Linked DNA regions of Oreochromis niloticus. The protein of the gene in region 1 binds, or shares a complex with, the protein of each later gene. Links are inferred from orthologs where the notes say so. Each region holds a gene or a part of one and is shown in the gene's direction. Other genes may lie near its edges. The genes, in order: chd5, mta1 and mta3.

Region 1 (7,978 bases):
GTTGTTCGTGGTTTTTGCAACATTCTTTTACGATATTTACTTAAAATGCTAGTATAAAATGTCTGGAACACATTGAACACGCTGTGACTAACCGCTAATAAAGATATCTGAACACTATTGCTGCTTCCTTACGCTTCGCTTTGGGGTTTTTCCGAGTTTAAGCAACTTTCTCCATTTGTGTTAGAAGAGGCAGGTGGTTAAGAAGCCGGGTGGGAAGAAGAAGAAGCAGATCCTGAAGTTCACCCTGGACTGCACCCACCCTGTTGAGGATGGCATCATGGATGCTGCCAACTTCGTGAGTAGATCACCTCTGACAGAAATGACATCTTGTCTGGTAATCAGTGCAGCAGCTGTCAGACACAAATGCTCTGTGTCAGACACTACTGTCAAATAAGGGGCATCAATCAAAGCCCTGTATTAAGGTTCCAGTCAGTTGATATTAAAAGAAAAGAGAGAGGGAAAAAAAGACGGATGTCAGTCATATGTTCATAAGAAACTGATCTGTACGTTCATAAAGAGGCCTTCATTTCTGGTGCTTGCTGTGTGTGACTTGCTGTGTCCTCTGCACATGCAGGAGCAGTTCCTGCAGGAGCGCATCAAGGTGAACGGCAAAGCTGGAAATCTTGGTGGTGGTGTGGTGTCCATTGAGAGGAGCAAGAGTAAAATTGCTGTGAACTCTGAAGTTCCCTTCTCAAAGAGGTAAATAAAAGAAAAACAGTGCAACTATGTCATATTGTATTATTTGACTGGTCATAGTCATTTGCCATTATACCAGCAACCCTCAGTAAATGCTTTGCACAGTGCTTGCTACAAGGCCTAAAAAGACAAATGTTAAGTTTAAAGAAAATCTCTGTTGTTTGTGTGGAATAGAGAAGTATGCAGAATCCTGTTGAATATAATTTTGAGGGAAATGAAACGCATTTGACATTTCAGCCACAGTAATATTGTAATAGACTTAATGAGCAAACATGAGAAGACTCCAAACAAATATGGCTGTGTTTGGTTGTCACTTACACAGTGGTTGCAAAATTTTACTGATACTCAGCCTGAATGTGTCTTCTGACTGATCATGCTGTCTTTGTGGTTTCCCACTTATTTGAGAGCTTGTGATCTGATGTTTTTTCCAGTTGCAGCGCAAGTACATTTATCCAGTATTACATGAGCTGGTTTCACACAAGTGTGGCAATAAATACTCTGGACAGATACACCACTAGAGAGTATCTACCTTATGTGAGAAGCCAAGAAATCTCATAAAAATGCTTAAAAAACAAAAGATTTTTAGGGATCAGATAAGTTCATCATTGCTTGCCACATCGTGCAACAAGGTCCTGCTGCATCCTAATATGGGCATAACATCAAGTTTGATGTGTGTAGACATAACAATAAAAACTGACTGAATTGTAGGCTATGACACACAACTATGGTCTCTTCCTATGGTGTGTCATCTTAATGTGTACTCATGCTGCCCCAACTGCACAGTATTTTCTTCTATGCTTGAATTCATTACCTTTTTCACAAATTTTACTGCCACCTTTTTCTTTTGTGTGTGAAATTGTCATTGATCAGTGCCTAATTTCGTGTTGCATTCCTGTTGGTTGATTTAACAAAAAAAGAGGTAGGTTGTAGCATAAATTTTGTAAGGTCAGTACACACTAAGGTGTCGTTGTGTGTCAGGTACAGAAAGCAAAGTAGAATATTTATTTTTTGACCATAATGTGTACATTCTGTGTCTACAGTACCTACAGTACTAAGAAAATACAAATACCGTGTATTTAGAATGTTGGTATTGAAAGGTACCATAAGTATCGATTCTGGTGACATGTGCCTACTGTGGAGGTCTCGTCCTCTGGCAGTCAGTTCTGAAGAAACATGCCTGCTGCTTAAAGGTTCTTCTGTGAACACATGAAACAGTCTAAACACAATGAGTTTCAGAATTATTGTATTAATTGTGGATTTGTCTGAAGTTTTGTGAATATTTTAAAAAACCAAAACTAATATCTAAAAGTGAGATCTATTTGAATTTCGATTCAGATTTATTTATATAGCGCCAAATTACAACAACAGTTGCCTCAAGCACCTTCGAAACACAGATGTTATTGTGAAGTGTAGTGCTTAATGTAACTGATTAGAGTGGCACAGCCAAAATGGTTATCTTGTTATCTCGTTATATATATTTATTAGGCTGTAGCCACCACTTAATAATGATTCTAATGTTCTATTTGGACAATAAACAGTATTAACTATATAATAACCTAGATATAATAATGGTATATGTATTATACATCTGATCATTAAAGTACTTGAACTCCTTTTTAAAATTGGCTGTAGCAAAGTTGCAAAACATACATATGCCCAGCTAATCCACATGTTTTAAATGTTGGGTTATGTGGGCCTGTGTGCATTTCTGGAACTTTCCCTAACAACCTTTATGTCCACTTCATACTGTAATTGTTCAGTAAATTTTAAACACCACCACCAGAGGGGGACTGTGGCACTCTCAGTCTTAAATGAAGCATTTGATATAACCAGTGGAGATCTCCTAGGTTAGAGCTGATGCTAAAGCAAATTCATTTTGTGATCCCCACTTTTCTGCTGGTCACGTTTATGGCAAAAACCACACAGAGCTGTTTTTTGTGCATCTGGGCTACTGAGAGTTTTAACTGTTGTACGTCGTGTTTAACGATTTCTACACCTTAATATAAATCTAGAAAAACAGCAGGATTTTGCTGCTTTTCGGTACATAAATTGTGAAATTTAAGGGCAGATTGACTCACACTCTTTCTGCTCTCTGCTTCCATTTTCAGGTACTTGAAGTATCTTACCAAGAAGTATCTGAAAAAGAACAACCTCAGGGACTGGCTGCGGGTGGTAGCTAACACCAAGGAGAGCTATGAGCTGCGCTACTTCCAGATCAACCAGGATGAGGAGGAAGAGGACGAAGATTAAACCTTACGCCACTCTTAATAAAATACTTCGAGAGAAAACCCTTGATGGTCTTGTGTTTTATTTGGAAACATTTGGTTTGATTATGTTATCTGGATCCCACACAGACGATAAAAACAGAGATATGAACATGTGACTGTACACTCTGATTTCATTTAGCGTTTTTCAAAAATAATCCTCGATATTTAGATGCATGATGACAACTTTAATTGCATATAAATCTGTAATTTTTAGATTTAGGAATGTTTTCTGGTTCTTTATTCTGATGTGGGATGGTGTTTTTTTTTTTTGTCATCTGGTTATAAAAAGGTTTATTTGCATTGTGTGATTGCCCCCCATCCCCCCCTAAAGTCCTGCAGCATGTGGGATGAGCTGGGACTCTCAGCCTTTCATTTGTATATTTTGATAAAAGATAAAGTGACGCTGAAGCTGATACTTCCTCTGCTCAGCTCTCTGTGGGGCATCCTGTGATACAGCTGTGGTAACCTTGACAACAGTTAGACCACTGGCAGTCAGGACTCCTCACAGCTTGCAGTCATCAGCCTGCACTTGTGTGTGTTTTGTCAGGACAGTGTGGACGCTTGCAAGATGAAATCGAGTCAGGTGGTTGTTAGTTGGGGGTTTTATGCCTTAATTGACGTCTAAATCAACCAAAGCGTCCGTATACACAAACGGTTTGGCTTCAAAATAGAAAGCAGTGCTGTGTTTCCACCTGCAGACACACTTTGAAGTGGAGCTTGTGAGTGAATAGAGCAGCAGCTGTGCGAGAAAGTGGGAGAAGTTTCTGTCTCAATTCTCCGGACTTCCAAAAGGAAATGGACAGGCGCGGGGAGTGCATCCGTCTATTAGCAGCACACGGCGCACGATGTGCATTTTTTTGCACGCTACTAGTTGAAGTGGTAACTAGGAGAGTATGACTAACTAGTTGTGGGTGAAATTATGGGATGCATCGTCATGGCAACAGACCAGACGTCACAATCTGGGCATGTGTGTTCCATTTTTGTCTTTCTTATTTTTCAGACTGGAAGACCTGGATAGAGATCATTGGAAAATATATATATTTTTTAAAAAATTATTTTTTTTATTTTACTCTTGGAGAGAAAGCCCCATGTTCGTTGCACAGAAATAAAAAAAAAATCTTACATTTTTCACAGCGACGAATACTATTCTTTTTGGGTGAAGAAAGAGACTGTGCTGCGGCGTCTGGAGGGTTAACTTTCAGTATTCCCAGCCTAAAAGGGGTTTGGGGGCTATGAGATAAAGATGCCGGGGTCGCTGAGCAATGAAGACGAGGGACAAGACGACATGGATTTTGAAGACGATATACCAGGTGAGGGAAAGGGGAGAGGCGGGGTGTCCTTCAGATAATTTTGCGCCGCTACGCCTTGAATGCGGGGAAAAGGGCTTGTCCTGCGTTCCTGAGACCGGAGAGGAGGGGTGGGGTGCAATAAGCAGAGTCATGCTATTATTTTTTTGGACGACCTACAGTCTTAAAGGTGGCAAAGGGTTGTAGGTTTTTTTTTTAATCTCTCCCCCCACAGCTGTCCTCACATTCATCCTGATTTGGGGGCACGATGGAAACGCTGCTGCATGGTTTCTGTGGGCTGCCTTTTCTTTCACAGGCTGCATGCGTGTACAAGTGAATGGCTTTGAGTCCAAACACAAGTTTTGTTCAGAGAGCTGTTAAAAAAAACCCGTACTTTGCTCGTTTCCGTGTCAGTGTGTGCATTGGCGATTTTCTGTCCCTTTTTAGCTCGTGGATGTGCTCTTTTGTGGAAAAAAAGAAGGGGGGCTCCGGTGACAATGTGCGTGTTCATTTTGTGGATGATGCGCTGCCGTTAGCGCTCGTGATTAGGAAGCTGTTTCAACTTTAATTCTTTTTTCTCCCACTGCATGGCCGCAGAGGTGTGAAAGCCACGTGTGGGCTACAGTAAACAGAGCTTATCAAGTGTGCTCCTTTGCCTTGCGCGCTGATGACACCGGTTAGGTCACCGGCAGCCCTTCAGCTCTGGGTCGTGCGCGAACTGGAATTAACTCTAACCCACATTCTCTGCGTGCTGCTAATTCATTTCACATGGCAACTTCATACAAGAGAACCTGTGCAATAACATTCTCCAGGCTGAAAAATGAACATGTCATCAACTCTGGCAGTGAACCAGCTTTCAGTGCTCTTACAGTTTCCTCCCTTTTTTTTAAAAAAATGGTCAAGATCAAATCAAGTCACAGGGGGTTTTAAGATTCCCTAATTAATGACCATGCACAAGAAGATACTTGCCAAATTTTGGCCATTTTGTTTTCTTTTGGCTGGTAAGTTTGTTAGGTTTTCTGGCAGGTGTCAATCCTAGGGCACAGGGGAATCCCAGTCTTAGTTTTTTTGGCAGGCATGGCTGTGCTTACTTGTGACATTTACTCAAATTGCTAACTGTGTGGTCCATAATGTACACCAAGGAGCAGGCATCAGAATCTTCATCTGCGTAACACAAACCCAGTTCTGAACTGCTAATGATTGGTTTCTTGATCTAGTGATGCAGCAGCTCAGGTGATGAAGTGCCCTCTTGTTGCAGCCTGCTGAGCTGAATCCAGACATAAGATTGTCCCGTGCAGCCATTGAAGTTCCTTTTATTTTAAAGTTCTTATAGCTTGCTCCAAACATCAGATGGTTGATGTCAAGGGCAAGATTTAAAAGATCCTGCTTTGCCCTCTGCTTCACTTTCACATTACCATGTGGAAAATGTTTGTGGTTGTAAAATACACTCCAAAGCCAAAAACAAAAGTCAGAAAGGTCGGAAAGTAAGAGCCCTGCTTTGGATCAGAGAGCTAGTTTCAGTGAAGTCAAATCACCCCCCAAAAATGAGGTCAGCTGACTCCCTCAATATACTGAATGACCAGGTTTTTCCATCAGTGGTTTGTGTTCTTCCCTGATAACAAAGACATTTTCCTGGATGACAGTACCAGGATTCATTGGGTTAAAACTGAAAGAGCGATTCAATGAGCACGAGACATCATTTTCCAACAGGGACTGGCCACCGCAGAGTACAGACTTTAACCCCTCTAAGAATCTTTGGGATTTGCTAGAGAAGATTTTAGCAGACTGTCAAGCCCATCGCCAATACAAGGCATGAAAGTAACACAGCTCTAGGTGGAAATAGGTGTTGTGACATTGCATAAGCTTATTGAAATGATGCCTTGATGAATGCTGGCCATGATCAAAGCTCAAGGTGCTCAAATGAAATATGTGAGTGTGTGACTGCTTTTTATTGGCCGGTCAGTGTAGATTCAGCATGAAATGAAGCTTCTAAAATCCAATGCAATGTTTTCTCCAGCAGCAGGCCCTCCTCGTCTTAAGTGTTGCTCAAATAATGCAGTGATGCGGAATATAGAATACATGTGAAAGAAGGCACAAGACGTTTTATTTATTAAATATCTTGCTGGTGTGTCTGTTGCATTGGTATTAGGTATTGCTCGTTACAGAGTGACGAAAAGCCATTTACTGGGACACTACTTCGGTGGTTTAATTGTGAGCAGTTGTCACAGTACTGAGTTGCCAAATTACAATCCTTGCTCATTTCGCATGTGTGTTATAAAGCTCTTGAACATCTGAGGCTTTGAAGTGCTGTCACAAAAAATGAGGTAGAATGCATACAATTACTAAATTCAAGGGTACCACTGGTTACCATTTCTTAGACAGAAAAAGGTCATTCATGCCACAATATTCAAAAATTACCTCTGCGTTTAACACGAGGTCTGAGTATTGTGATATCTGCCTTATTTGAGGAAATCCTTTGCATTAAACACACATTTCTTTTGTTTATATACATATTTTTTGACAAGGGTAATTTGTACTTGCTAGTTTTTCTGTGCGTTTATGTGCATCTTAGCAGTAAGCAAGTGAAAAACGAGGCAGACAAAGAGAACGGAGAGTCAGAGGGGGAGTTAGAGCAACATCTGTGACTGCCATCCATATTTAGAGGCAGAATACAGGCACTGATGTGTGTCCTCAGTAACGCATTAGTTTGTTAAACATGTATAAGAAAAGAAGGCTGCAGCTGAATATGGCAGGTGAGTGAATATATATCAGTATTAATTAAGTCTAAAAAATGAAGAATGTGTTTAAATTGCTTAAATATGCTTTGATGGGATTTTTGTAGTCATGTGTTTCTGGCTTCAAAAAAATTTCGTGTAATATAATAAATACCAGTGTGATCCTCTGTGATGACGCACAATGTACCTACTTGAGGGTAAATCTAGTGAAACTCCGACACAGTGGTCCATATTGGTTTTGTCATCATGAAATTGTTCACAAAAGGGAGTCATTCTTCCTAGTCTGAAAATATGACTGTTTTATTGGAATAACTTTCCTTTAATTTGTCATATCACTCACTCATCACAACAAAATGCTGCGGATCAATTGTTATGCTGCTGATATACGAAGCACTTTCCAGACAGTTTATGACCTCATCAGCAGGCTTCAAAGTGATAGACAAGGTCAGAAATCCAGGTCAGAGTTTTCTACCATGAAGACACTTCAGTGCAATTAAAACACAACAGTGTGGGAGCACATTGTGTGTGGACTTCAGACCCCAAAATGCTATCCTATCACAGTCTTTATTTGTTGTGCCATGTAGCGTCCTAAGTCCCTTTGTTTCACTCTGGGCACTTACACTGTCACAGATTGTTCCATTGTGTTTTCTGTTTTAATTGCTTTGTTCTTCCATAAAATTGAAAGATTATCATGGGCTTTTGTGTGCCTACAAATGTTATCCCCAGTTGGAAAAGGGGCTATTTTTGGATCCCTCACTGTGAAAGTTGACACAGTTTTTTTTCTTAATGCGTGTGTATGTAGCCTAAGCATAAAAAAACATGCTTTTAAATATGTTTTTGCAAATGAGTGGTACATCATTTCTTATCTGTTTCCTATCTGTTTATATGGGATGTGCTATGACCTTAGAATAGATATACTACAATTTAATGATGCTATTTGGGCTTTATCCTTCCATCACTTAGATGATAACATTTTCTAATAATAGCCTACGGA
Region 2 (7,978 bases), on another chromosome or scaffold:
CAGACACATGAATAAATAGTTAACAAGTATTTTACCCAGCAGCAAAGCTGTTTCTTCAATATGACTGCCTTGACCTGCTAAGTGTATTATCACTTTAGGCACCTAGGTTTGTCCATGGCCAGCGTCAGCATCCTGGACAGGCCCCTCTGGCTCAGGCTCATCCAAAAAGCTACTATCACCCCTCAGCTGAATTCCAACACGATTTAAAAATAAGACCTATGATTTGGTAATAAAAATGTTAAAACACTCACATTACACTGTAATAACAATCATGTTAATTTTTCAGTTAATAGTAACATACTGTAACATGTCTGCACAAACTCTTTCCAACTAAAAACGGCTATCATTAGTTTATAAGGCTGTCTTTAATGCATGAAAGTGCAATCTCACTTGAAACTTGCAAAATATATTCGCTATGAACATACTGGACATTTATGGTTATTATAAATGCATATTGGTTCATGATGTCATTTTAGACAGGTTGTTTAATCTTGAATTTGTCATGTAGGATGCTAAGGTAGTATCACTGCCCATTATGTCCGTCTACTCTGGCACTGACCATGGCTTTATTATTATGTGCCCGTGGTTTTTCCTGTCATTTGTTTGATGATTTATGTGATATATATACATATATATATATGCATCTCAAGTTGCTGAGCAAGTGCTTGCCATTCCAGTCACTCATTTTTCTTCTTCTGTCTAACTGTTGTGGGTTTTTCCCCACATGGCACAGTCACCAAATGCCAGAGCCTCTCTGAAGATTGAGACATTTTTAGCAGTTCAACCAGCTGTTTCTCACAGAAAAAAAGGAAAAAGCAGTTGCACTTGTCTGGCAGCTTCTGGCATTTTGGCAAATGGTCCTGTGGTTAAGGGTGTACACTCAGTGACGGGATTGTCTTGCAAGGTGGGGTTCAGAATATGCAAGGGGATAACTTTTGGAGTGCCACATATTTCCATGTGTGAGACAGTCTCACAGTAACACCCTATTCGTAAGGGTCAGTATCAATAACCCACAACTGCAATATTCTTAATCCCTCTGGATTAGGGCAAAGCATTCTTGGGAGGCTGAGTGTTTCATTCAAAGCTGTGTGACAGATGACAGACTGAGTTATGTCTTCCGATAGAAACACCCACACTCAGAAAAGGCACAATAGCTAATATTGATTTAATGGCAACATTTGATAATATTATACTTCTGATCTACAGCTCTGTGTTGCAGCTTTAGATGCAAATAGCTGGCATCAACTCAAAAATCACAACTCACTTAAGTGTCGTTTTCGCCGTTAGCGATGGCCACATCGCGGTTCTTTTTTCTTCCCACAGCATGACTGCTTTTCAGGGAGCAAATGGGGACAATAGAAATAGCTGTGCGCATGATGTCCCCTGCTGGCAGACTATGTTTAGTGCAACTTGGAGCATTTTTTTTTCAGTGAGTATTGGAAAGATCAGGCATTGTTAATGAATGGTTTCAGAGCTCAATTTTATGTTTAGTATGAGCTAAAGATAATGGATAACATTATGTCTGAGTGTGCATGGTTTTAAGGCAGGCAAGCCTTTGTCTTAAGTGGTCATTTTTATAAAAAGCTAGACAATAGCTCCCCCTAATGGTGACTGAAAATAAATACAAACTCCTATTTTAAGTGTTTTCTTTTACTCGCAATAAGTCAGTGCTGTCTCCTCCCACAGCTCTCAGAGGACTGAGAACATGGCTTCATAGACTAAAAAATTAAAAAAAATGAATATTGTCTTTAATATCAACAGCAGTGGTGGTGAATGTGTTTTAGATGGATGTACAGAGCAGTCTCCATACAAGAATCTAGGCATCTATGATATTGTACAGTAGCTCACTGCATTATTATCGGTAATATTTATCCTGCTTTATATACTTATACATGTGTCTTATAGCTATAGCATGACTCACAGCAGAAGGTCACTGGCACTAACCTTCTGAGAAGGGAATATATTCAAGCATCCTCTAGAGAGCAGAGTTACAGACTGTTCCAAAGTATAGGTAATTCACTTTTAATAAGGAATACACCCATACAAAGTCAGGTGTGGAAGAGCGAGAGCCCTAACATTATTCCCTTTATTCCTGCACCACCCATAGTGTCTCTTGATCCAAGTATAGGTTCCAGAAAGAGAATTAAAAATATTTCAAATAGTTTCTGCAAGGATAGAGGTCTAATTGATTTCCTCTGTGTCTTTGACTCTCCCGTGATTCATCTGCTGCATGGAGGAGCAGAGGAAAGAAAGAGGATGAGGGAGGAAGAGAAGTAGGAAGAGAGAAAGAGAGGCCATCAGAGGTCTTCTTCCAAAGCGAAAGGAGGTTCTGCAGACGCTCTGCGTCCCGAGCCAATCCATCTCCACAGACTGAGATTCATCAGGATGAACACCTGCACTGCACTGCTCTGTACAGAGCTCTGCCTGCATGCTTGTCTTCCCGAATGCAGCAACATCTGGCAGAGGAGCAAGTGTATTAAAAAAAAGAACATCTGCACAGCATCAAGCAGCCAAGTAAACAAACAGCCCTAATGAAAGTGGTAACAGTTCCCAAATACAAGGGTGCATTGTCAACCACCTATTTTCCTTTAATTAAGAGCATATTAAGCACTGGCAATGTTTTCTTTTGAGCCTATTGGGGAAAATTACAACAGCTCAAAAGACTTCTCACGTGTGTCTCCATATGCTTAACAAATAACACATAATGTACAGGGATATGCTGGATTATGCTTTACACTTGAAATATTCCACAAGATAGCAATATAATATGCACAAAAATAAGCATTTATGCAGAAATGCACTGTTTGTTGCACACAGCAGTGCATACTTAAAAATAAATGTACAGTATAGTGATGGTCTTTCATCAGTGAGCATGCAACTATACTACAAATCAAAATACTGTGCAGTGTACCATGCACTGGCATTGAAAAACATCGCAAATTCAATGTAATTAAATTTGAATGACATAGTGTAGACGTAAATCCTTGTACACACCCATACATAAACACACACATGCACAAAAAACACACAAAGTGCACACTCCTTGTCTCTCGTTCCTTTTCATAAAAGAGCCCCGGGACATAATACAGAATCCCTCCAATGCAGCACAGTTCCTACTGCACACTTGAGTAGGAGTGCATACTATAAGCACACATGATTGGCCTATAACAGTCATGTGACTGCAGACTGTGGTCCCCTGTGTTAGGTCACAGTATTTGACGCTTCCATATGGTATAGATCAGACGTAGCCTTCACCACGCATTCCTCTGTCACAGAGGCCTTATGCTATCCACAAAAAAGTGAGCCAATCAAACAAATATCTGGTCATTCAGGATCACGCCTTGTAGATACCTTTCCATTAAAGACTGGTTGCCATGTAAAAAAAAAGCTATGCTCATGTGAGTTTTTTTAAGCATTCTGTGGTTTGATTGGCAATTTATTGTGCCATGTCCAAGGTGATATGGTACTATATGGTTTGTTTGTGGTAAGATTGAAAGAATAATATAAACACACTCACACACACACTACTGATAAGAACAGAAACACTGCTGCTAGTCCATGTTGCAGAACCAACATCCTATTTTAATGGCAGATTATTATCTTGTTCTCTTACCCACATGCACATAGAGTTGTACTGTGGACTAACCATGTCATTGTAATAAGCTTAATAATCCTAAATCTCCATAGTATTTCCAGAATCCAGAATATATCTCATATTATCATACCATAATTCATTGCATGTTTCTGCCTTCACTGCGTGCTGTGGTTATAATGTAGTCCTATACAGTGAGACAAAAATGAGCTATGCTATCTTATAAATAAACCACCATTGTAGTATACGATCCTAACTTTAATACACCTTATCAGATTGGAAGAATTTGCATATGTCTTCCTTTCTTTTGTTAATAAAATTAGGTATTTAAGGACAAATGTGTCTGACCCTGTGTCTTTCTAATGTACATGAATTAAATTTAACATACTTTGTTATTTTTACATTTAAGCCCATGTATCCCTCCCCTGCTGGTCCACTGACCTCTGACCCTCACTGACACTGTGAGCATTGAGGGATTTAGGATCACAGCACTGGTTTATTTTTAGGGCTGATGCATTTTTACACAGCTATACAGTTCCAGGTAAATGGCTTATTTTAAAACCAGCTCTGGAACCTGTCCACATTTCATGAGTCATCCAATGTGGGAGTTTATACAGTCCGAAGTAGGCCTGGTAGGCCCTGGAAGTTTTTTTTACATCGAGCTCTTACTTAAAGACTTGCTTTCCACCGTAAATTATCGCGATACGTGTCGATTAGTTGATTGGAGAGCTGTATAATTATCATAAATAAATAAAAACTTTAAGCTAGTATCCAAGTTTCATGTCTTAACAATAAAGACAGGTCTATTTTCAAGAAATTTACCCTTTCGTTTATAATCTAAATTGGCAAGTAAAAGATAAATGAACTACTTATGTAAGGTTAACCGAGTAGCAAAGTTAATAGGATAACGGTTCCTTTCGGACAGCGCGTGCTTGGTTGCTAATAGTGACGTAGGTACAGTTTAAAAAGGCAAATATTTATTTATTTATTTTTTAAATTTTATATTAAGTTAAAGAAAGTTGTTTAATTAAATCGTTAATTTGTTACAGTGCTTATTCCCATTTACCAGCGCCAAAGTTGTGGGTTAAAAGAAAAAAGGCGTACTGTCTCTTTAAGGCAGCCAGCCAGTCTCTTTCGTATTGATCAATCCACCATTTTCCAACACAGAGCGGCGGCAGTGCTAACACAGCTCCGGCAGCGCGAGAGAGAAGAGAGCCACCCCTCTACCTGGAGAGGAAGCCAGGGACCGGGGGCAGTCATGGCAGCGAACATGTACCGGGTTGGAGGTAAGGTGGAGGGGGCAGTATTTTAAGACCTTCCCGTAATTTTTTATGGCGGACTCGCCATGATTAACGTCGGTTCTTTTATGTATTTACAGCGCGTGGTCCGTCTTTTGCTTCCCTTCTTTTATTTCCCTAAAGCTAAAGAGCCTTGTGCTTCACAGATGATGATGATGGTGACTGTGAAGAGGAGGATGGTGATGAAGAGTAGTGGTTCTCTTTACAAAACTGCTCCCCGGATTTCCTCGCTTCTTTTTGCGTTTTTCTTCCAACTTAGCAAACAAGTACTTTAGTGCAACGATGCACTCTGAGTAACATGCATTGCGCTTCTATATATTTTGATGTAAAGTAGCGGATATATTCTAAAAGTTTTGCGTGCCATTCAGCTACAGCCCGGACTGTACGCTCACAGCCATAAGTAACATCGTAAGTGCTTTAAGTGTCCTGCAGAAACCTCTCAATGCTCACAAGACAGCAGCAAGGAGTGCATGCTCTTAAAATGCAGGGAAGGAGTGGGACAAAAAGTTAAAGACAACACTTTACATGCAGGAACCACTAAAATTCTCAAAGCATGCGTAGAGATCCGTTTTACACATTTATAACCAGTGTCTCTTCGCTTCTTTTGTGCAGGCAATTCAACTTAATACCTAATTAAAATTCCTGATTTCCCCTCCCACTCATTTTTTCCCTGCATATGTTCCCCTGATTTACATCCCGTAGGTACTGTGTGAAAATGAAAACACGAAAACCACTATAGCTGCACTGTATTTTAAATAGAATGTGCTGTTTTTTGAGGGGGTTTGCAGTGGAGATGCATAAAAGAATGGAGACCTTTTTAGATGTGTCTTCAAAAAACTTCAAATTTAGCTGTCAAAAAGTGTCACCACACAGAGGTTTGATATGAGGGCTGTAATGCAGATGGCAGTCGTAAGCATTTGCAGGACAGTTTCTTTATTCTTTCTTTATTCATCCACTTTTAGTGTCTTTTTGGACTCTGTGGCCATTTGTCAGTAGAAAAGGGAGGGAAAGCAAACTGATTATATTTTTAAGATTATTAAGAACTGATGTCTTTTGAAATATGACTGATGTGATTGCAGTTGGCTTGGAGCATGCATCAAAAATAGCCTATGCTTAAGTTAATGGCATTGTTATTTAGTCAAATGAAACAAAGCCTACCTGAGTGAGAGCTGGATTATGTTGGAGCAGGGTAAAAAGTTAACACTTTACCAGCCAGATGTTACTTAGTTTTGTATTTCTGTTTACGCTGTCAGTCTCTTACACTGACATACCAACCAGTTAAGCATGTATGTCTTGTTTGTAGCACACTAATTTGCAGTAAAAAAGGTTGTTTTATTTATTTCATATCTACCTTGCAGCTTTAAGGTTGTGTAGTTTGACTAATTTGTGAGATCTAATCAATCAGAATGGATTAAACATTTAATGCTCAGTCATCAAAGCAAAGTTGATTACTTTTTTGGAAAAGTGAAAAAGTAACAAGTAAGCTCAACCTTCATAATTTAATTTAAAACTACAAAACATAATTTAATAAGCATAGTCTTAATTTGTCCTACAATCACAGTTCTAGTTTAAAAAAATAAAATCACAGTTCTAGTTTGGCCTAAAAATAGGCCTCATAATTGACTGAAGCTTCTCCAGGCCAACACCAGAACAAAGCAGAAGCCCACACAAAGATGGCTGCTTCTTTGCAAGACAATGCAGGATCATCTTGGAAAAGCAATGAGTCCCCTTGAATGAGCAGTGGACAAAAGACAAAAGGTCTTGATGTCTTTGTTTTCACCATCCAGGCCACAAGCCACTCTTCCGGTGCCTGCAGCACTTCTTCCTAGTGCTTTCCCTCATGTGCAGGAAAGTGTTGGTGACTAAGTGTAGGCTATACGATAACTTTTAACCATTTCAGCGGTTGGAAGACGTTTTTATGAATGCAGTGAAATTTTAAAAAGCCTCTAAGACTTGCTGACGACTTGTTTTCCCCAAGTGAAAACAATTCTTTCCTGAGATGTTCTAAATTTGGTTGTCAAGACGTATAGAAAGTTTACTACAATTTTTGCTAGTGGGTACTCAGACCTACCATTGAAAAAGAGGACAGGCTTTTAAAACTGTGGAGCTTTGATTTTGTAGTTAATATTACAGGAAGTTGCTGGTTGGTGTTAAGCCAGGTTCAGTTTTTGGCCAGGTGATCCCCTGTTTGTTTCCTTTAAAATGAATTTCTACAACAGGCTTCTGAATGTGGACCTACTGTGATAGAGATGTTCCAAAATATAGTAAAAGATGCCCTGTTTGTATTTTCTCAAACTGTGTTGCTCTGGTCAAAATATATTTCTACCTAGAATGAGGATTGTGGGTTTTATTCCCCCATCACCTGCATCGGAACTGCAGTATGAGGCCATATCCGAGGATGTTATGATCACGAGGAATGATTACAGGATGCAAACACTTCTTCGGTTGTCATATGGGTAGGGGTGTTATTTAAAGAAATAATTGGAAAATACAGGATCCATCCTTTAAATAAGAACTTGCATTGGAATGTTTGGATTGTGACAGCTCTTGCACAGAGTTTGCAAAATGTGTTGCATTGTTTACTAACTTAAAAAGTGAGAAACTTGGGTGTTAATGCCCACATTTCCTTTGGATGGTGAGGATTTTCTACAGTAATTATTCAGAATGTGCCTGAAGGTGTTGCACTGTTTACTAATCTACAAACTGACTAAATTACAAACTTTGACAGTGCCCACACTTTGTTTGGCTCATGGCTGGTGTTAATCTCCCACGCTGGCAGTTGTGTCTCTTGCAGGGTCTGGTGGGTGTACTCGCTGAGTGGCGAGCTGAGGCTTCTTTGCTTCAATCCTGCCAAGTTCAGGACAACTAGTTGGACAGATGCATGACAACCTTTTTACATCCATTCAGCAAAGTATCCCCATCATTGTGTTTCTGAGGGGGGTCAAACTGCCCGAATGCCCATCACAATAACCGCTGTTTGCTAGCTTCCTAGTGTTGCCTATGGGCTTAAAGGTCTGGTTGTCTAAACTTCACTAGAATGAATGTTTGAGAAAAGAGTGGAAAAATTTGCTGATTTATCGCGTTTGTT
Region 3 (7,978 bases), on another chromosome or scaffold:
GCCCAGCACCTGGCATCCCTGCCCGGGCCATTGCCATAGTGACATAGTAGGGGGTGATGGCAATCACGTCGATGATGTTGAGTGGCCTGCGGAGGAAGTCCCACTTGTCTTTGGCCACCAGAAAGCGCACTATGCACTCTGCCGTGAACCAGCCAATACACACTGCCTCCACTATCCTACAGAGAAGATAGAAGAAAAATTAGTTGCACACACTGTAAACAGGAAATGACAGAGGAGGTACAGTGAGATATGGATGGCATGAAATATGAAATACTGCCTGGCAGTCAGTAAATGTGAGGAAGAAGGAAGCAAAGCAAGGGGAGTTAAATGATGGGAAATAAGGAACAAAGCTGTCGCAGTTCAGGCCTGGCACAAGTAAACAAAGACAGCAGGACAGATACACGGGCTAGTAAATTGCCGGGAAACTGCACAGAGGGAGGGTTTAAACCCTTCAAAGAAAGACTGTGTCAAAGACGGTCACGCAATTACCCCATTGACAAGCAGAGCAAGGCCAGTCAAAATGAATTAGAGAATGATGATTCTTGCATTAGATATAAATGCAGAGAAGCCCAGAAATTACTAAAATACCTGCAAAGCAACTATCAGAATAGTTACACCAACCCAAATTATGTAGCAACTGAGAGAACTGCATCATCTAATGACATGAAACTACATTGGAATCCTTTTGACCTCAGAGTATACAAGCCACTTGTAGTTGATTACTTAACCACTGTAGCTGATCCAAAACTCAAAACTATGTCCAGCCTGAGGGAGCATAACCTAACCTTATATAGAGAATGGCCAGCTCAGGCTTCCAGGAAAGTACAGGGCAAAATCACACAGACATAGAGATACACGTTTTCACCTTGCGCCTACATGCTTAAGTTAAAAAAAACAAAACTCTGACTTATGATGATTCCTGTAAGTGGCCTAATTTCTTTGTTTGCCTGCACTATTATATAATCCCCCCCAGTACACATTCTACTTTTATCTCATTGCCCACTCAAATATTATGAATCTATGATTACCTTATGTTTGCCCTTCATGTGCGCAATGCAGTGTAAACTAAGCAGGGCAGTAAACATATTCAGACTAACTGTGAAGAGGGTGGGAGAAATAAGAGGGGAAAGCTATGGATTGGTTATTGATTTGCTTCCTTGGGGGCCTGTCCGGCACAGGTGTAATGTGTCCGGCTAAGGTGTAATGTGCTGCCTGAAACTTGTCAGCGGGCATACTGACTTCAGGGGCATCAATTCAAGAAAGCACAAGAACAAATCCCCAGCAGCCAATGTAATACATGGATGTTTTAAATATCTTGCTTTGCTGTCATTCTTATTTTTATGTTATTATAGCAAACATCCTAGAAAACACTCAAAAAGCTGAGGTAGAAAACATCTCAATGCATCCACCTCCTGATTAATATTAGTGCGCAATGACTTTGGCCGTTGCCTTGAACGCATGCATGATCAAATGTTAAGAGGTATATTTATTTATTTATGCTACTTGTGATGACAGAATCAAATATTTGACACGATTCCATCTGTTCAGTTCACTTTTACGCAAGACAGTCTCAGTTGTAGGATATCCGCACACATTGCGCCTAAACATTTGGCAGCATTTTCATGAGGGGGCTTCTATTCCTTCAAGTTAACTGACCCTTGACTATCGCCTACCTGTGCTCCTCCACAGTAGTTCTCTTGGCTGTATCCCAATCCGGCAGGGTGCTAGCGCACAGCATAATCATAGAAACGATAACAAAGATCACGGACACTGAAGCCAAAAGCTGCGCTACAAGGGAAGAGTTGGGCTCCTCAAAAGCCTTGCGCATTTTCTCGAGCCACCTAGCGCGACATGTGAGCTCAGCCTCTTGCACTGACTCCCCTGGGCTCTGGGGCTCATCCTCGATGTCCCCCTCAGAGAGTGTGTCCAGTCCGATGTCGGACATCCTATCGTCCAGGCGTTTCTGGCAGCAGGAGTCCAAGTGCGCGCTCTCCAGTCCCCAGTAGAGCATCTCTGTGTAGAAGGACAGCTCACACACTCCGGGAACAAATCGGAGTTTGCCGGAGCGCACGTACAACATAATAAACACGAAAGCCTGAGCGTGGCGGTCGAAGAAAAACTCATTCCGGTCCCGATCGTAGTCATCGCAGAGTTCGAGGACCTCTTTCTCGGTTGCGCAGGCAATCAGGCGGCTGACGCGTCGAAGAGGGAAATCCCTGATCACCTCACGGGTGAAGGCGTACCGGGTTCCCCCGACGTTAAGCACGCAGATGCTCTTCCCGAACTTCATTTTGACAACTTAAATCCTCAAAGCCTAAGAGAACTCCTCTTCACAGTCCATTTTTCCTTCCATCGCAGGAGTTTGGGCACTTGGGGAACTCGTCTCCCCTGCCCCGGGGCGTGGTTCGCTTTGAGTGAAGGTGGCCCTGCGCTGAGGTCCGTGCCTGCTAAGTGGAAACTCTTCCCTCTGTCCCTGACTCTATTCTCCGTCTCCCTCTGTAGCCTGAAGAAGAGACTCATCCCCCCAGTCAGCTCCAGCCAATCCCATCAGTGATGTCACAAGCGCGCGCGCGCGGACGCACGCAGAGAAAAATCCATAAGCAACAGGAGTATAGAACGTAATATGTGATTTAAGTCCACAGTGGAGACTGCTTCTTCCTATAAAATACTGTTTAGATTCTTCTGGAAGCAGGTTGATGAGAAATTATCGTCAAACTTGATGAAAACCGGGGAGGAAAAGTCTTGTTTAAGAAAGCTTAATTACGTCTCACTGTAATATTCCCTGTTACACTGACAAAAAATAGATGTGAAGCTTGTGATTAATATGCCCGCACCATTATTAAAATGTAGACCATTTTATATCATTTAATTAAGCTAGATAGAGATACCTATATACACCAGCTCTGACTTGTGCAACAAAAGGTACATTATGTTAAGATAAGTATAATGGAAAAAAAAATAAATAGCAAGAGAAATATATGCACACACGTATAATTTATTAATGTTATTATTGTTAGTATTATCATTATATAAATAAAGCTTTTTTAGTATTATTTTTATTTTTTGTGCAGCTTTATTTATTTATCTATTTGTTTCGAACAAACATAAAGAACATAGTAATTATTTTAACTTAGCAATGCAAATATTCTATACCAGCTCATTTGATAGCAAAATATATATAAAAAAAATATCTACATCAATGTGTTAGCCGTGCGACAGACTGACGAACCAGGGTGTACCCTGCCTCTGCCTGCCTGATAAGGATAAGCGAAAGGGGATGGATGGATGGATGGATGGATGGATGGATGGATGTCTACATCAAGTATACAAAACATAATCATATACTGAATCTTCTTCTTCTTTCGGATATCGCCACAGCATTATCTGCCATCATCTCACTATGTCACTATTACACCAACCCTCTGCATATCTTTCTTCACTACAGCCATAAATCTTCTCTGAACTCTTTTTCTTTTACTACTGCCTGCCAGGTACATCTTTAACATCCTTTTCCTAATATATCACAGTATATCCCTCCAAGCTATCTAAGCCTTGCTTCTCTTACTTTAAAGTTATTAGAATTAGAAATGACGCCTTCTGTCCTCTCTGGTCAAGGTGGATCATGTAACGATGCATAAAAGAAAATAATAATAATGATAATAATAATGATAATAATAATAATAATAACACTGAGACTTCTTCATGTTCCTCTTAAGTTTTAGAGCCCTTTCTGATTTGTTAGGAATTTTAGAGAGACTCAGTTTCAATGATTAGATTAAAGTTTAAACTTTTGGCTTTACAGATATAAAAATTAAAAAAAAAAAAAAATGTACAAACTGCTTTCTTGGGTGTTTTCTGAGGTGGGCTGTAAGTGTCTGCGCGTGTGGGCCGCGTGTGGCTGTGCTGCGCGTGCGCGGGCCCCTCCAGCGTCAGCAGTGGTTTTTCGGGTTGATCCGACTTCTTTTGGCTGCCGTGAGTTAACTGTATCATAAAGGGTGCTGTGACTCGAAGGAGGAGGGGGGGGTTGAATTGCCACAATTCTCCCGATAGGTTACACATCCGGAGTTCCGACGATCTTAATTTGTCGCTCCTTTTCCCTTCAAAGAGAGTGACTTTTATTGTTTTTATTAATTTATTCCATTTCTCTTAGTTTATGGTTTGCACACTGGGAGGGCAGAAATGGCGGCCAACATGTACCGGGTCGGAGGTATGTATGTCAATGTGGATCTTTTTATCAAAGAGAAACCGTTACAGTTTTGCAGCTCCTGGGCGTTATTTTGTGGTATTTTGAGCCGTTTGCATTTAATGGTGGAGATGCGGATGTGGTACAGCAACGTGGACGCGTTAAGTTGAAGCAGGAAGGTGAGAGTTGGTGTATATTTGAGATTCAAAATGGGTCAGGCCTCGCGTCTGTCGTGGCCACAGCAGCTAGCAGACAGCTTGCTAAATGGTTAGCTGGCAATGTAAACATTTTTCACTTGTTTGCTGCTCTCCGGGTTTCTGAATTCTTAGACCACGGGATACAGGGGGCTTCTACACGGATAGACCTCACGACTAGACGTGTGTTTCAAAGGTTGTTAACATGCTACCACGGGCAGTCTGAGGCTGCCTTTGTATTTGCCACTCCTGGCATGCAGCCATTAGTACGAGACCTTATTTAGCTAACGTTAGCACCAGCGATGGCTTCACTGATTACCATTAATGCCGTCTCAGCGCTCGTTTGCTGCATTTAAGGATCGTATTTAACCGTCTCGGTAACATCAGGTGCTAAAGTGTTTTGCCAAAGTGACCACCTACAGTAACCACAAGTGCAATTAATTATCAAATAGGGATGCAGGCTGGCTGATTTGCTAGCTAGCTCGTTAGCAGTCTACTGGAATTCAACATCAAATTATTGTCTCCGCGCATGGCGTCGCTGTGTCTGCTTTTACACCTTTATTCACGCATACTTGAGCTTTAAATCCATACACAGACGGCCACGTAGCCTAATTGCATTAATGCTTGACATGCCACACAAACTATAGGCGTCTAATGACATGTCTTGCAACACTTTATAACCGGTATTTTCGAGGTGCATCAGTTTATTGTCCCCTCACGTCACCTTTAGTGCAACTTCTCCTGCCGCTTTCAGGTGCTCATTGTAAACTCCATGAACTTGTAGGTAGGACACACAAACTTCCAGGTGCATTCAAGTACAGTTTTCTCCCGCGATGGAACAAGTCTTGTTTTGCTGCTACATTGCAAACAAAATAGATGGGATATGTAGTTTATTAATTTATTTTCTTAAAAATTGATATATTTATTTTATAACAGCATTGCAAGACTGAGGTGCAGCACATTCCCGTCCCAGAGGCTAAGGGCTGTCATACACATTAGCATGATGATACATAGACTCTAATGACATGCATGAAGTCATATATATTTTGACAACCCTGACAAATATGCTGCTGCACCGTTTAAAAGTCTGGAACATGTGAATTGAAATATTACAGACTCTGTGTGAATGCAGCATTTGCCATGGACTGAAGTTGTGCAAAGTTGGTGGGCAAGCTTCTAATTTAAAAAAAAAAAAAATAGGGATATTGTTACATTTATTTTATTTGTCCCATTTGTTGGAACCTTGCAGTGTCGAGAAGACGCATAAGCTGGAGGAGAGACAGGGGGATTCAAACCAGTGCTTCTGCATTAGCCTTACGGCATATAGGTCATCTGCTCAAACCCAGAAAGCTATACTGGCATCTGGTGATGTTATTTATATGCATGGGGAATCTTTCTTTTAGAAAATGCTATATTGAAGTTTTTATTGTCTTTAATTTATTTTTTCATACAAACTGAAACAGTATGGTAACATATGGCTACAGTTTGAAAGACTATAATAATTTTGCACTTTTATTCGTCTATAACTTGGTTGTTGTTGACTAGAGATTTTTCCTTTTAACTTTTCTTGTGCAACACTTTCTGAAAGTCACAAGTTTCCACATTTATTGATTAAAGGATATGCATATCTATTGATTTGACCTACTGTAGTGCCAATGTATTAGTTCATGCGGTGTATATATTTAAATATAAGATGTGCGTGTTTCCTGTTGCAGATTACGTATTCTTTGAGAACTCCTCCAGTAACCCTTACCTGATCCGTCGGATAGAAGAACTCAATAAGGTACTGATGTGTGCGTTTTTCATTTTCATGTGTGGTTATGTTAGAGAATTCCTTGAATTCCTCTCTGCTCCTGTCCCCACCCCATCGCTTTCCCATTGTTTGTGTGGATTTTGTGACGTTGTTTGTAATATGGCTTGAAAAGACAGGTGTTCCCTGATCTACCAACTGTCATTAGTATGACTTGACACACCTGTGTGTGTGTGTGTGTGTGTGTGGGTGGAGTGATTATTATCAACATTTCACAAGCTCATGTAGCTTTGGGCTAAAGATGCAGATTTATTTTAATTATAAGCTGATACCAACCTTCAACAGCAGTGTTGTTGGTCTCTCTTTTTTTCTCTCAGCATTTTACCGTAATTCCCATTTTATTTTGTTCGAAATCCTTCACAAGCATCGTTAATAGGTGTGTAAAAGCTTTTCCTGTGTCATGCTTGCACTGAGATATTCTGATAAATGCAGGTCATTATCAGATTGTGTGGGTGGAATAATGCCAGATCACATCATTATCATCCTGAAAGAGCGTACTGAGGCTCAATGTTATAATCTAAAGACAGGAGACATCGTAATTATCATAAATGATGAAGTAACAGGAAGTCCCTGCAGCATGATACCATTTAATAAAGCTGTGCTTCTGCAAATACAAGCTGTATGAAGCTCATCATGTTGGTAAAGGTGAAATGGAGTGCTTGATCAAGCACGATGGACATTTTTGTGGCTTTTGCTAGTGCATCAATATGCATGTCGTCGTTCCTGTTATTTTCTCCAGATCCCTTTTTATTTAGATACATTTGCTTTTGCGCACAAACTTGGAAGCAGGTAGGTGGGGAGTATAAGTTGTTTCTTTTTCTTCTTCTTCAAACCTTTTACCCCCACATCTAGTCATCAGTCACGACATTTAATACTGGCTGAGTTTGAGCACAGCTTGATAGGTACACAAAGGAGCCAGGTCTCTTGGGAAATTACAGGGTTGTACAGGTACGTGTTGCCACTTATTTGAGTCAACCTGGATGTCTCTCCTCCTCTCTTTTAGACTGCCAGTGGGAACGTGGAGGCCAAGGTAGTTTGTTTCTACAGAAGGAGAGACATCTCTCACAGCCTCATCCAGCTCGCAGATAAACATGCAAGTGAGTAGCAGTTGTGACGCATCATATGTGAATAATTCCCTTCAAACATCTGTGTAAAACAGTAGAGTTTCTTTAGATTGTTTTTGCATTAATGCATATTAAACTATTGTATTTAGAGGGTTCATTTTGTGTTCTAATTCATCATCTGGTTCTATGTGGAGTTTGCATATTCTCTACGGGTACTCCGGCTTCCTTCCACAGCCCAAAGGCATGCAATTAGTGGGGTTAGGCTAATTTGTGAGTCTAAACTGCCTGTATGTCAAAATGTAAGTGTAAGTGTAAGTGTAAATGTCTTGATGGATGCTCAGTCATCCAGGTAAGGAAAACCAAAAAAGTTGGAGACTGAAGAAGTCACTTGGATTAGTGACGAAACATTTCTCCCACTGAAAATGCTACGTTCAGATGAACAGAATAAACCTTTTGGGTAAGTGTGAATGGTTTCTGTCTCTCTGTGTTGGCCCGGTGACAGACTGGCGACCTGTCCTGGGTGTACCTCACCTTTTGCTTTATGGCAGTGGGGATGGCTCCAGCTCAACTGTGACCATCAACTAAAAAAGCAGAAGAAAATGGATGGATGGGTTCTTTCTGTTTTGCCAAACTTAGAGTGACTGTCTTAGCTGGTTGGACAAATCAAGCAGTTTTGAATGTGTCACCTGTCTATAGGAATTAAAAATTGTATTTTTTCCTTTAAAGA

Evidence for each region.
Region 2: chd5 (region 1) and mta1 share a complex: the UniProt entries of both Homo sapiens proteins name them as parts of the nucleosome remodeling and deacetylase (NuRD) repressor complex. The link is inferred for Oreochromis niloticus from reciprocal best matches to the Homo sapiens genes CHD5 and MTA1.
Region 3: chd5 (region 1) and mta3 share a complex: the UniProt entries of both Homo sapiens proteins name them as parts of the nucleosome remodeling and deacetylase (NuRD) repressor complex. The link is inferred for Oreochromis niloticus from reciprocal best matches to the Homo sapiens genes CHD5 and MTA3.

Annotation. Positions count from the first base shown.
Region 1 is NC_031970.2:11,662,011-11,669,988, reverse strand, and holds the start of chd5 (chromodomain-helicase-DNA-binding protein 5), read left to right. Parts: upstream 1-3,553; 5' UTR 3,554-4,206; coding exon 4,207-4,273; intron 4,274-7,978. Other genes in the region: rpl22 (large ribosomal subunit protein eL22), read left to right, coding at 188-295, 575-699, 2,805-2,946. UniProt on the Homo sapiens protein: ATP-dependent chromatin-remodeling factor that binds DNA through histones and regulates gene transcription. May specifically recognize and bind trimethylated 'Lys-27' (H3K27me3) and non-methylated 'Lys-4' of histone H3.
Region 2 is NC_031983.2:19,122,172-19,130,149, reverse strand, and holds the start of mta1 (metastasis-associated protein MTA1), read left to right. Parts: upstream 1-4,114; 5' UTR 4,115-4,133; intron 4,134-4,759; 5' UTR 4,760-4,850; coding exon 4,851-4,878; intron 4,879-7,978. UniProt on the Homo sapiens protein: Transcriptional coregulator which can act as both a transcriptional corepressor and coactivator. Acts as a component of the histone deacetylase NuRD complex which participates in the remodeling of chromatin.
Region 3 is NC_031973.2:10,588,940-10,596,917, reverse strand, and holds the start of mta3 (metastasis-associated protein MTA3), read left to right. Parts: upstream 1-3,854; 5' UTR 3,855-3,972; intron 3,973-3,978; exon of another isoform or gene 3,979-4,150; 5' UTR 4,151-4,179; coding exon 4,180-4,207; intron 4,208-6,092; coding exon 6,093-6,160; intron 6,161-7,190; coding exon 7,191-7,284; intron 7,285-7,978. Other genes in the region: kcng3 (potassium voltage-gated channel subfamily G member 3), read right to left, coding at 1-176, 1,674-2,290. UniProt on the Homo sapiens protein: Acts as a component of the histone deacetylase NuRD complex which participates in the remodeling of chromatin.